Linked DNA regions of Mus musculus. The protein of the gene in region 3 purifies or fractionates together with the protein of the main gene of each other region. This does not show direct contact. Links are inferred from orthologs where the notes say so. Each region holds a gene or a part of one and is shown on either strand. Other genes may lie near its edges.

Region 1 (3,581 bases), on a different chromosome or scaffold from region 3:
CAGAGTCACTCCGGCATTATGTAGCGCACTGCACCTGGCAGCTCTCTTACCTTCTCCTGGCCCTGCTATCCACACTTCTTCCCTCTCTCCTGCTTCAGTGCCATGGGAGGCCTCAGTTGCCCAAAGCAGAGGCTTCCTCCAATCCCCTCCTGTTCTCCCTGCCCCAGGCAGCCACCCAAAGCTGCCTCTGTGTGGGGCTGGGTTTGCGGTTCAGAGAAACTGTTGACCTGAGGCTGTTGACCAGGCTAAAGCTGGCCGTGGCCTCTTTCCTCCCTGCCCCCACTCCAGCCCAGTCACTCATCACAGGCTAGACAACTGTTTGGGTTTGGGAGCCAGGGGGCTAATTATGCTGGAGTCACAGAGGGGCTAGGTAGGAGGACATTCAGTGAGAGGGCCCTGTAATCAGAGCTATGGGAGAGATGACAACCTGGCCTCCCTGAGAGGCGGCCCCTTCCCCTCCTCTCCCCCAGGCCTAGCTCATGCGTCCTCTCCCAGCCTCTCCACTCCATTGCTTCTCAGTCAGAAGAGTCCCTGAAGGCTAGAAGAAAGCAGCCAGACATTGTAGGTAGGGATACAGCTTTATTCAAGGGAGGAAGAGAGAAACAAGATCTCAGCAGGCTGAGATGATGAGAGTCACTCATCATTGCTGCTCCTCTGGGCATGCACCAGACCCTGTGCAGGTGGTGCTACTGTAGACAGGCAGGGCTAGCAAGCTCTGGCCAGAGCAGTCTCGTGGGAAAGCTCTGGGCCCAAGCCTCTTCCAGCAGGTGAGCCACAGAAGAAAGGGGGCGTTGAACTATAGGCTCAGCTGACCTGAGCCTTCAGGGTGATCCAGGCAGGATCTCACCTGTCTCAGCCAGCCACACCTCTCCACGAGAGATACCACAGGTCAAGTTATCAAAGCTAAGAGTGCTGGCCCAGAGCAGGGAGGGACATTCCCCCCACCCCCCACTAAGTCCTCAGTGCCAGAGGGGCAGTTTCTAATCTTCCCCTGAGGACCAGGAGTCTCCATCTACCCCACTCAGAGTGAACTTCAGCGGCTGGCTTGGGCCTAGATGCACAGGAGACCCTACTAAAGGGGCCTTGAGGGTACCCTGTTCCTGTAAAGGGATGCCTTGATCCTCGTCCCCATGCAGAACCACCTGACCCTCAGCCTGCTCTAGTCCATTCTCCATCCTCCCATTCACTTGCTCTGACTCCAGGTTGGGGCCCTGGCCACTGATATCAAAGGTGTCTCCTGCCCCTGGGACCACGCTAGTCACCTCTTGGGGGGCATCTAAATGGTCAATCGCTTGACCTTCCTCCCCCTCCAAGGAAGCAGACTCAGACCCCTCTGACCCGGAAGGCTCAGCACTGTCCTGAGACACCGTCTCTAGGGCAGTTACAAGAACATTAGCTGCAGCCCCACTCAAGCCATCATCCCAGAGGCCACTGTCACCCACAGATTCATGTTCCAGGTCCCCTCTCTGGGTGACATCCTGGACCTTGACACCTCCACCAGAGGGCCCTGGCCCCCACCACTGAGTCCCTGACTCTGCTCCTTCTTCTTCATCAGCATCTTCTTCCTCTCCCTCTTCCCCACTCTCTTCCTCATCAGCAAACCCATCAGACTCCCCACCCTGATCCCAGCATGCAGGCTGCAGTACGGGGGGCTCTTGGCCCAGATGATCGGACACCTCTTTGGGAACCCCTGGAAGAAGAGAGGCCTCAGTCCCTAGGTCCTCAAATTCCTCAGATGAGAGGTCAGAGTCATGGCCTTGCTGCTCTTCCTCTGGTGGGTCACTGAGACCCTGGGCAGCCAGGGCAGCAGGACTCCAGCCTTCCTTCCTGGCCTCCCCTTGAGGGAAAAGCCTCTGTTCTCCAGCTTGCTCCCACTTTGGGGAGGCAGGAGACTTCAGGTAGAGGCCCAAGGGAGTAGAGTCAGGGAGAGTTTCCCCTAACTCATCTGCCTCACTGTCTTCTCTGCCCTCCTCCCAATCCTGGAGGCCCTCAGGAATCTCCCCACGACCAAACTCTGGCTCATCTTCTACTCTTCCCAGTGCTTCAGTCCCAGCTTCCGGCTGCCACCCAGCCTCCTGGATCCCCTCAGCTTGGGGCTGCAGCTCATGGGCATCTGTCAAGATCGGGATGGGTGAACAGGGTTCCAGGAGCTTGGGACCAGGGACTGTTAGCGCTGCCTGTAGACCCTCATCTTCCTCTGTCTTAGGGGGCCTGGGCTGAGGGGCATGGCTGCCCTCATGGTCTGAGGTCTCCAGCGAGGCCTCCTCTTCTCCCCAGCCCTCCCCAGACTCTTCCCAGCCCTTGCATTCCAGAGTCTCACTGCTAGTCTTGGGTAATTCAGGGATGCCTGAGTCCAGAGCACCTGCCTCTTTTGGTTCCTTTCCAGGCTCTTCCAAGCCCTGATCTATCTTTGCCTTCACACTTTCCTCCCCCAGGGATGGGTGAATGGCCTCCTCCCTGGCGAAATGCCTTGGGTCCTCTAGCCCTACCACTTCCTGCTCGAGTTCCAGTCCAGCTCTGGCAGCCTCTAACCCAAGGGTCACCTCTACGGAGTCTTGTTCACCTGCTTGGGCTCTGTCCTCATCTTGCTCTGTTGCCTCTGGCATTCCCTGAGCAACTGGGACCTCTAGGGTTCCCGTCTGCTCTGGTTGTCCCTCCAGGTCATCGAGGGGCTCAGCAGGGACCCTCTGCTCCTTGGGCTCCGAGCTCCCCAGACTCCAGGCCTCCCCCACAGCATCCTGCAGCAGCTCTCCCTCCTCTACAGCTTTCTCCTCCCCACCTTGGCCCCTCAGATGCAACTCTGCCTTATCCTCAGTTTCCACTCCTGTAGCCCCCAGGGATGCTTCCTGACCTTCTCCATCCTCCACCACATCCTCCCACCTCTGTTGACTTCCAGATCCAGGCAGCTCCCATTCCACCTCTCCCAGAGACCTCAGAGACTCTTGGTGCTGCTCCCTCTCCGGGCCCTCTTCCACTTCCAGGCACTGCTGACTGTCCTCCACCCCTCCTGGTGATTCCACAGTCTCTGGGTTCCACTTGCCCAGAGATCTCAGTTCTTGACTCTCCCTTTCAAGGGGTGTCAGCACCTCTTGGTTCTCATCCACACACCCCAGTGGTTCTTGGGTCTCATCTTCTAGAGGTTCTATTGTCTCACTAGTCACTTCCGTAGACCACAATGGCTCTTGAGTATCTACAGACTTCCTTCTTCCCAGGCACTCTCCCACAGTCTCCAGTGATTCTATGTTCTCTGTTTCTGAAGACTTCACTGTCTCCATACCTCCTTCATTCAGTGACACTAGTGACTCTTGATTCTCCTTGTCAAGAGATCTGACTACTTCCTGGTCATTTCTAAGAGGCTTTGGTAACTCTGGATCCACCTTTTCTGGAGGGTTCACTGTCATCTGCTCATCTTCTACAGCCCTCAGTGGCTGCTGGGTCTCTTGTTCGAGTTTCTGTTCCTCTTGGTCCTGTCCTGCTAGAGACCTCAGGGACTCTAGATTCTCTTTTTCCAGAGACCCAAAGGTCTCCTGGCTCTCATCTTCAAGAGACTTCCTGGAGTCCTGACTCTCGTTCTCTAGCTT
Region 2 (3,651 bases), on a different chromosome or scaffold from region 3:
TCCTCCTCCAGGCCCTGGCGGCTCTCGGCCATGAGATTTTCAAACTGTGTCGACAGCCGTCGGCTCTCCTGGAGAAAGTGCCCATCGCTCTGGGTCGGGGGTGCTTCTAGTTGTTGCTGTAACTGCTCCTTCTGCTTCTGACAGGCATCTCGGAGCTGGGTCAGTTCTTCCGAGAGCTGGGCTGCCCGAGTGGTCAGCGCTTCCCTGCAGTCGGCAAACTGAGCCACATCCTGCTGACGGCACTCCAGCTGGTATTGGTAAGCCACGCATTCCTTGGTCACCTTGAACAGCTTCTGCTTCACCGTCCGGATCTCCTCCCTGAGCCCGTCCCTCTCCAGCTCTGCCTGTGCGTGGAGCTTGTAGGCAGCCAGGATGTCCTGGTGGACTTGCTGCACCTCCTGCAGGGCTGGCTCCCGGAGTAGCACGAGCTCGTGGATTAGCTGGTCCCTCTCCTCTTCCAGCTGGGACACGGCTTGTACACACTGCTGGAAACGAGCTTCCAGCCGCTCCAGGTCCTCCACGCTGAGGGGATCCTCCTCGGTGTTGGGAATCGGTTGAGCAGGCAGGCTTCCCTCCGTGGCCACCATTTCTCCCTCACAAGCAGTTGGGCTCTTAGCTGGCTCCACAGGCTGCTCTGAAATTTGCACCTCATCTGGCGTCACGGATTCCTCCACAGACAGCATCTCCTCTGGGCGCACGGGCTCTTCTAGGCCCAGCGCCTCGTCTGGCTGCCTCGATTCGTCGATAAACAGTGTCAGTGCTGGCTTCTCATATTCTTCCTCATAAAAACTCTCTTCAAAGTCCCCCGATGCCCCCAGATAGAGAATGTCCTCTAGGTTCACAGTCCCCTCCAAAGACAGAGTGGCCTCTGGGTTAAAGGTCTTGGCCTCCTTCGGGGATTCTGACTCCTGAAGAGGAAAACTCGCCTCGGTGTGTGGTTCCCTGCAAGAGAGATGATGGCCGTGAAAGAGCAGCCTGTGCTCCACTGAGTGTCAACAGGGCCTCTGTCTCACGGTTAGCTGCAGCAGGTTCTCTTAGCTACTTATGGGGAATTGAATATGCTTGGCCCTTGGGGCATTATTAATTAGAGGGTGTGGCCTTATTGGAGGAGGTGTGGCCATGTTAAAGGAAGTGTGTGTAGGGGTGGGTTTTGAGCTATGTAGAAGAGGAAGAGACCCGCCATCTGCCCCACCTCGAATCAAAAAGGAGAACTCTCAGCTCTTCCAGCACCCTGCCTGCCTGGATGCTGCCGTGCTTCCCGCCATGATGATAAATGGACTGAACCTCTGAAACTGTAAGCCAGCCCTGGTTAAACGTATTCCTTTATGAGAGTTGCCATGGTTCACAGCAATGAAACCCTAAGGCACTACTCCCCTCCCCAGTCTGCCTCTTCCACACACTGCCCACCATTCGAATTCCCTGACACCACAGCATCACTGGCTAGTCTCTGCTTACATCACTTCATGGAGAGGACGCTATTCTCAGACACAGCTGGGTGTTCCACAGTTCTACACATGTTCAGGGGCAATTGGGACCACATAGAGAGACTGTGCCCGTAAAACAAGGAAAGACAACCGTGCTGGTGCCTGCCTGTAATCCCAACAGGCTGAGGGAGGGGGGTCAGAAATGCAAGGCCAGCCTCAGCTACTTAGTGAGCTGAAGGCCAACCTGGTTTTGTGAGAATCTGCCACTCCCTGACAAAATAGGGGGGATTCAGTGAGTGGCTCAGCAGATAAGGGCACTTGCCACCAAATCTGATAAACTGAGTTCAATCCCTGGCTTCCAAATGGAGAGAACTGATTTCTACAGGTTGTCCCAGAAACACACACACACAATAAATGAGTAGGCATTAAAGTGGCAGGGTTGAGACTGGAGAGGTGACTTAGTGGTAAAAAAGCACTGGCTGCCCCTGCAAAGGACCAGAGTTCGGGTCCCAGCACAACCACCTGCAACTCTGTCTTCTAACTCCAGGCATCCCTCCCTGCATACATGCAAAAAACAAATTTAAAAAATTAAATCTAGTTTGAGGCCAGCCTGGTCTACAGAGTGAGTTCCAGGACAGCCAGGGCTATAGAGGGAAACTCTGTCTGAAAAGAACAAACAAACAGGGCTGGAGAGATGGCTCAGTGGTTAAGAGCACCGACTGCTCTTCCAGAGGTTCTGAGTTCAAATCCCAGCAACCACATGGTGGCTCACAACCACCCGTAATGAGATATGACACCCTTTTCTGGTGCATCTGAAGACAGCTACAGTGTACTTAGATATAATAATAAATAAACCTTTAAATAAATAAAATCTAAAAGCAAACAAAACCAACCAACCAAAAACCGCAAAGGGAGGAGAAGACGGTTCAGTAAAGTACCTGCTTTCCACACACAAACACGAGAGCCTGAGTGTGGGCCCCCACAGCCCTGGGGTAACACCTGTAAGCCTGGCACTGAATGGCAGTGGCAGGAGAACCTGTAGCTTAACTGGTGAACTCCAGACCCAGCGAGGGATCCTATGAAAAACCGTTGAGGACATACAAAATTGACCTCTGGCCTCTACACACGCGCACACATTGTGCAAACACACAAACACACACAGGTAATAGCTGAGGCCGCAGCTCAGTGGGTAGAGTGCTCATGGAACATGTCGGAGGTCTTGGCCTTGATCCCTAGCACCACATAAAACCTGCTGTGGTAGATAGTACGCGCCTATTCCTGTAACCTCAACACTCAGGAGGTAGAGGCAGGAGAATCAGAGGTTCCGGGTCATTCTCACCAGCAGAGAGAGTTCAGAATCAGTCTGTATGTGTACAGAATCATATGTGTGTGCACACATACAATCTATGCGTATGGACTCCAAACACTAATGTTGCGAATCTTGCTGAATAGCTTTTCTCCATCATTCACATTCAGATGAAGATAATCAAAATCTACATCCTCTCTGATGCATGCCTTTAATCCCATGCAGAAGCAAGGGGGGTCCCTGTAGGTTCTAAGCCAGTCTGATCTACATAGCAAGTTCCCAGGCCAGCCAGGGCAACATTGAGTCCTTTTATTAAAACAAACAAACAAAACAACAAATGAATAAATGACATGATTGTTGAGATCAGCTTCAAATGTATATTCTTTTTGCATTTTATTTAATGTGTACATGTGTGTGTGTTGTGATGGAGGCGTTCGTGCCACAGTAGAGGTCAGAGAGCGGCTTGTAAGAGGCACTTCTCTCCTTCCAGTGCAGGTTCTGGGGTTGGAACTCAGGTCATCATACTTGACCGTAGCTCAGCTGCCCTACACTATAGCTCTCCTCACCTTGAGACAGGTCAGTTAGCTAGAAGCCTGCCGCAAACTGACCTGTACCACAGGAAGTCTTCTCCATTCCACCATTAGGACCCTAGTCCAAGCTGTGGTCTGTTTACTCTGTTTATATCAGCCTTTTTGGTTTGTTTATTTGTTTGTTTGTATTGTTGTCTTTTTTCTTTTCTTTCTTCCTTTCTTTCTTTCTTTCTTTCTTTCTTTTTTTTTTTTTTTTTTTTTTTTTTTCGAGACAGTTTCTCTGTATAGCCTTGACTGTCCTGGAACTCACTCTGTAGACCAGGCTGGCCTCAAACTCACAAAGATCTGCCTGCCTCAGCCTCTCAAGTGCTGGGATGAAAGGCTTGCTCCA
Region 3 (3,159 bases):
TATTAATTATCTCTGACCACAGCAAGTTACTCTCTGCAACGTTAAGTTCCTCATATATATGGTGTCTGGGTTAAATGAGATCTTCCTAGAAAGACGACTGTGAGTTAGTTCACACATGCACGTTTGCCTTCTATACCTGCTCTCCTCGCCTTCCAGCAGCTTCCTGTAGGTGGCGATCTCAATGTCCAGGGCCATCTTAACATTGAGCAGATCTTGGTATTCACGAAGGTGACGAGCCATCTCTTCCTTCATGTTTTGGATCTCATCCTGCAGGCGGCCAATAGTGTCCTGGTAGTTAGCAGCTTCAAGGGCAAAATTCTCTTCCATCTCACGCATCTGGCGCTCCAGGGACTCGTTCTGCAGAAAGCAAAAATGGCTTCTCATGTGATTTCCCAGAAAACCCGGCTGTCCCCCAAAATATTCATAAATAAGGTACAGTAATTCTTTTAATGGTAGGTGCCCACTAGCTTTGAACAGAGAACACAAGCACCCAGTTCCATGTTTTGCTTTGATGAAATAACACTTTTACATGCAGCCTAGCTTAACTGTGAATTTATAATCCCCCTGCCTCATTCTCCAGAGTGATGAGGTTACAGGAGTAACCTCTAAAACCCCTCTTATTACAATCAATAACATATGTAAACTAAGACTTTCAAGGTACTCATTAAATAATCCTTAAAACTATCTTGATAATTCATTCTCTTTGGATAAGTGTGTGTGTGTGTGTCCGTGTGTGTTTAATTTATTTGTACAGGTCTCATTGTTAACCTAGTCAGCAGAATAGTACTGAGCACGGTATTTCCCCCCCTTTGCTGCTGTAGTACTCACAGTGCCTTTAAGGGCATCCACTTCACAGGTGAGTGACTGCACCTGTCTCCGGTACTCGTTTGACTCCTGCTTGGCCTGGCGCAGGGCATCGTTGTTCCGGTTGGCAGCCTCAGAGAGGTCAGCAAACTGTCAAGAAGGAATCAGAAATAGAGGTTGTTTTTGGTTGTGAGCTTAGTCGAAGAAGAAGAAGAAGAAGAAGAAGAAGAAGAAGAAGAAGAAGAAGAAGAAGAAGAAGAAGAAGAAGAAGAAGAAGAAGAAGAAGTAGAAGAAGAAGAAGAGGAGGAGGAGGAGGAGGAGGAGAAGGAGGAGGAGGAGGAGAAAGAAAAGAAAAGAAAAGAAAAGAAAAGAAAAGAAAAGAAAAGAAAAGAAAAGAAAAGAAGTAGAGATTGTTCACTTCCATGAGTTTTCACTCACTTAGAACAAAGAGGCATCTTCATCCTGCCTGTGTGTTTCCTAGAATTTGTCTGAACGTCTTTTGGAAAACCAGGGAAAGAGAAGCAGAACACCAGCATTGCGTTTTCAAACAGTATTTGCTCTACTGCAATGCTTTCCAAGTGGTGGCAGTCAAGAGCATGAGAGTAAGGTATTCTTTGAAGTCAGGGAAGACAATGAGTGGAAAGGGAGTCTGCCATACTAAAGGAAACTGTGAATGGAGATGAGGGGGAAGGGGTGCTGTGAAACAACAATGGCGGTCCAAGCTTTAAGCCAGCTTCTGAGTAGAGCTGGAGGTTACTAATGGAATTAGAGGCACGTGTCTGAGAGCTAGAGGTTCTTGCCACTCTGGCTCATTTCATACCTTGGACTTGTACCATTCCTCGGCCTCCTGGAGGTTCTTGGCAGCCACGCTTTCATACTGCTGGCGCACATCACGCAGGGCAGCAGTGAGGTCAGGCTTGGAAACGTCCACATCGATCTGGACATGCTGTTCCTGAATCTGGGCCTGCAGCTCCTGGATCTCCTGGAGAAAGAACAGACACAGAGAGGTCGTAGACTACACGGTCGCAGCTTTGTTCACCCACAGAAATTGGTGTCACTTACTTCATCGTGCAGTTTCTTCAAAAAGGCAATTTCTTCCTGCAAGGATTCCACTTTCCGTTCAAGGTCAAGACGTGCCAGAGAAGCATTGTCAACATCCTATTTCGAAAAGAGAAAAGATGATGTGGAGGGTGATAAAGTCTGTCCTTTATCTAACTTATTTATATTAATCCCTTTTTCACTTTATGTTGTGTATAAAGGTGTTTTGCCTGCATGTATATAAGTATGCCACGAGCATGTGGTATCCACAAAAGCAATAAGAGAGCAAAAGATGCCCTGGAACTGGAGAAGAGTGTGGGCAGCCCTGTGGGTTCTGCAAATTGAATTCCAGGTGCCCTAAAAGAGTAGCCAGTGCTTTTAACCATTGACCTGTCTCTACAGCCCCTTATTTATTTATTTATTTATTTATTTATTTATTTATTTATTTGTTCAAAAATTAACCATGTAAACCCATTCTCCTTATTGTAGAAAAGGTGCTGAAAATTTCATGACCCTTGATAAATTTATAAATCATTTAGGGTCACATTCCAATATTCATTCTTAGCTTTAAAAATGAATAGGAAACCATTTGGTTGTATTGAAGCTAACTAGTAGACAAGTTAAAAATAAACACATGTATATGCACAATGACATGGTATGGTGAACTATATGGAAAAATTCATTTTCAGTTTTAAACCTCTGTCACATTTAATAAGTCTGTAATTTTGTGATGATAGTAGTTGATGAGATTGTCCAACTTCATGTTTGCTTGAGTACACGTAATATAAAAATGAGAGCTTCAAAAATAAAATTAAAATGTTTTCTAAAGTGAGGCTTAGTAGTAAAGAATGCTGTTCTTTCAGAGGATTTTAGTTTGGTTCCCAGCACCCACATGGAGCAGTTCATGAAGGTTTATGATTCCAACTCCAGGGCATCAGGTGCCCTCTTCTGGCCTCATGCAAGCCTGCAGAAATGTCCTATACACTCACACAGACACAAACACATTACATATTTTTTAAAAATCATTTAAAATTGAGCTCAGAAGGGTTAACATATATGCATGCTCTTTTTTGTTTCCTGTATTCAAACCTTCAGATGCTTATCTTTGGAATTTAGAATAAGCACTCAGTTATCTGGCATCCAGGTTCCCAGGCTAGCCTCGTATCAAGTAGTAATTCATTGTTCAAAATCCAGGTCTTGCATTTGCAGAGATATGCTCCTCGGGCAAGAAGGAAAAGAAATATAATCCTGAACTATATTGTTTTGCCTTCTCTAATTTTTTTAATGTGTAAAACACCCTGGCTCAGCCTATAGGGT

What was found.
Region 1: the proteins of Vim (region 3) and Nes purify together in Homo sapiens (affinity purification with mass spectrometry; 3 studies listed by BioGRID and IntAct, counting the BioPlex papers as one, with this or other methods). This does not show direct contact. The link is inferred for Mus musculus from reciprocal best matches to the Homo sapiens genes VIM and NES.
Region 2: the proteins of Vim (region 3) and Sync purify together in Homo sapiens (affinity purification with mass spectrometry; 3 studies listed by BioGRID and IntAct, counting the BioPlex papers as one, with this or other methods). This does not show direct contact. The link is inferred for Mus musculus from reciprocal best matches to the Homo sapiens genes VIM and SYNC.

What each region holds. Positions count from the first base shown.
Region 1 is NC_000069.6:87,977,430-87,981,010, reverse strand, and holds the end of Nes (nestin), read right to left. Parts: coding exon 981-3,581; 3' UTR 560-980; downstream 1-559. UniProt on the Homo sapiens protein: Required for brain and eye development.
Region 2 is NC_000070.6:129,290,518-129,294,168, reverse strand, and holds part of Sync (syncoilin), read right to left. Parts: intron 943-3,651; coding exon 1-942.
Region 3 is NC_000068.7:13,577,216-13,580,374, reverse strand, and holds part of Vim (vimentin), read right to left. Parts: intron 1,963-3,159; coding exon 1,867-1,962; intron 1,787-1,866; coding exon 1,625-1,786; intron 955-1,624; coding exon 829-954; intron 358-828; coding exon 137-357; intron 1-136. UniProt on the Homo sapiens protein: Vimentins are class-III intermediate filaments found in various non-epithelial cells, especially mesenchymal cells. Vimentin is attached to the nucleus, endoplasmic reticulum, and mitochondria, either laterally or terminally.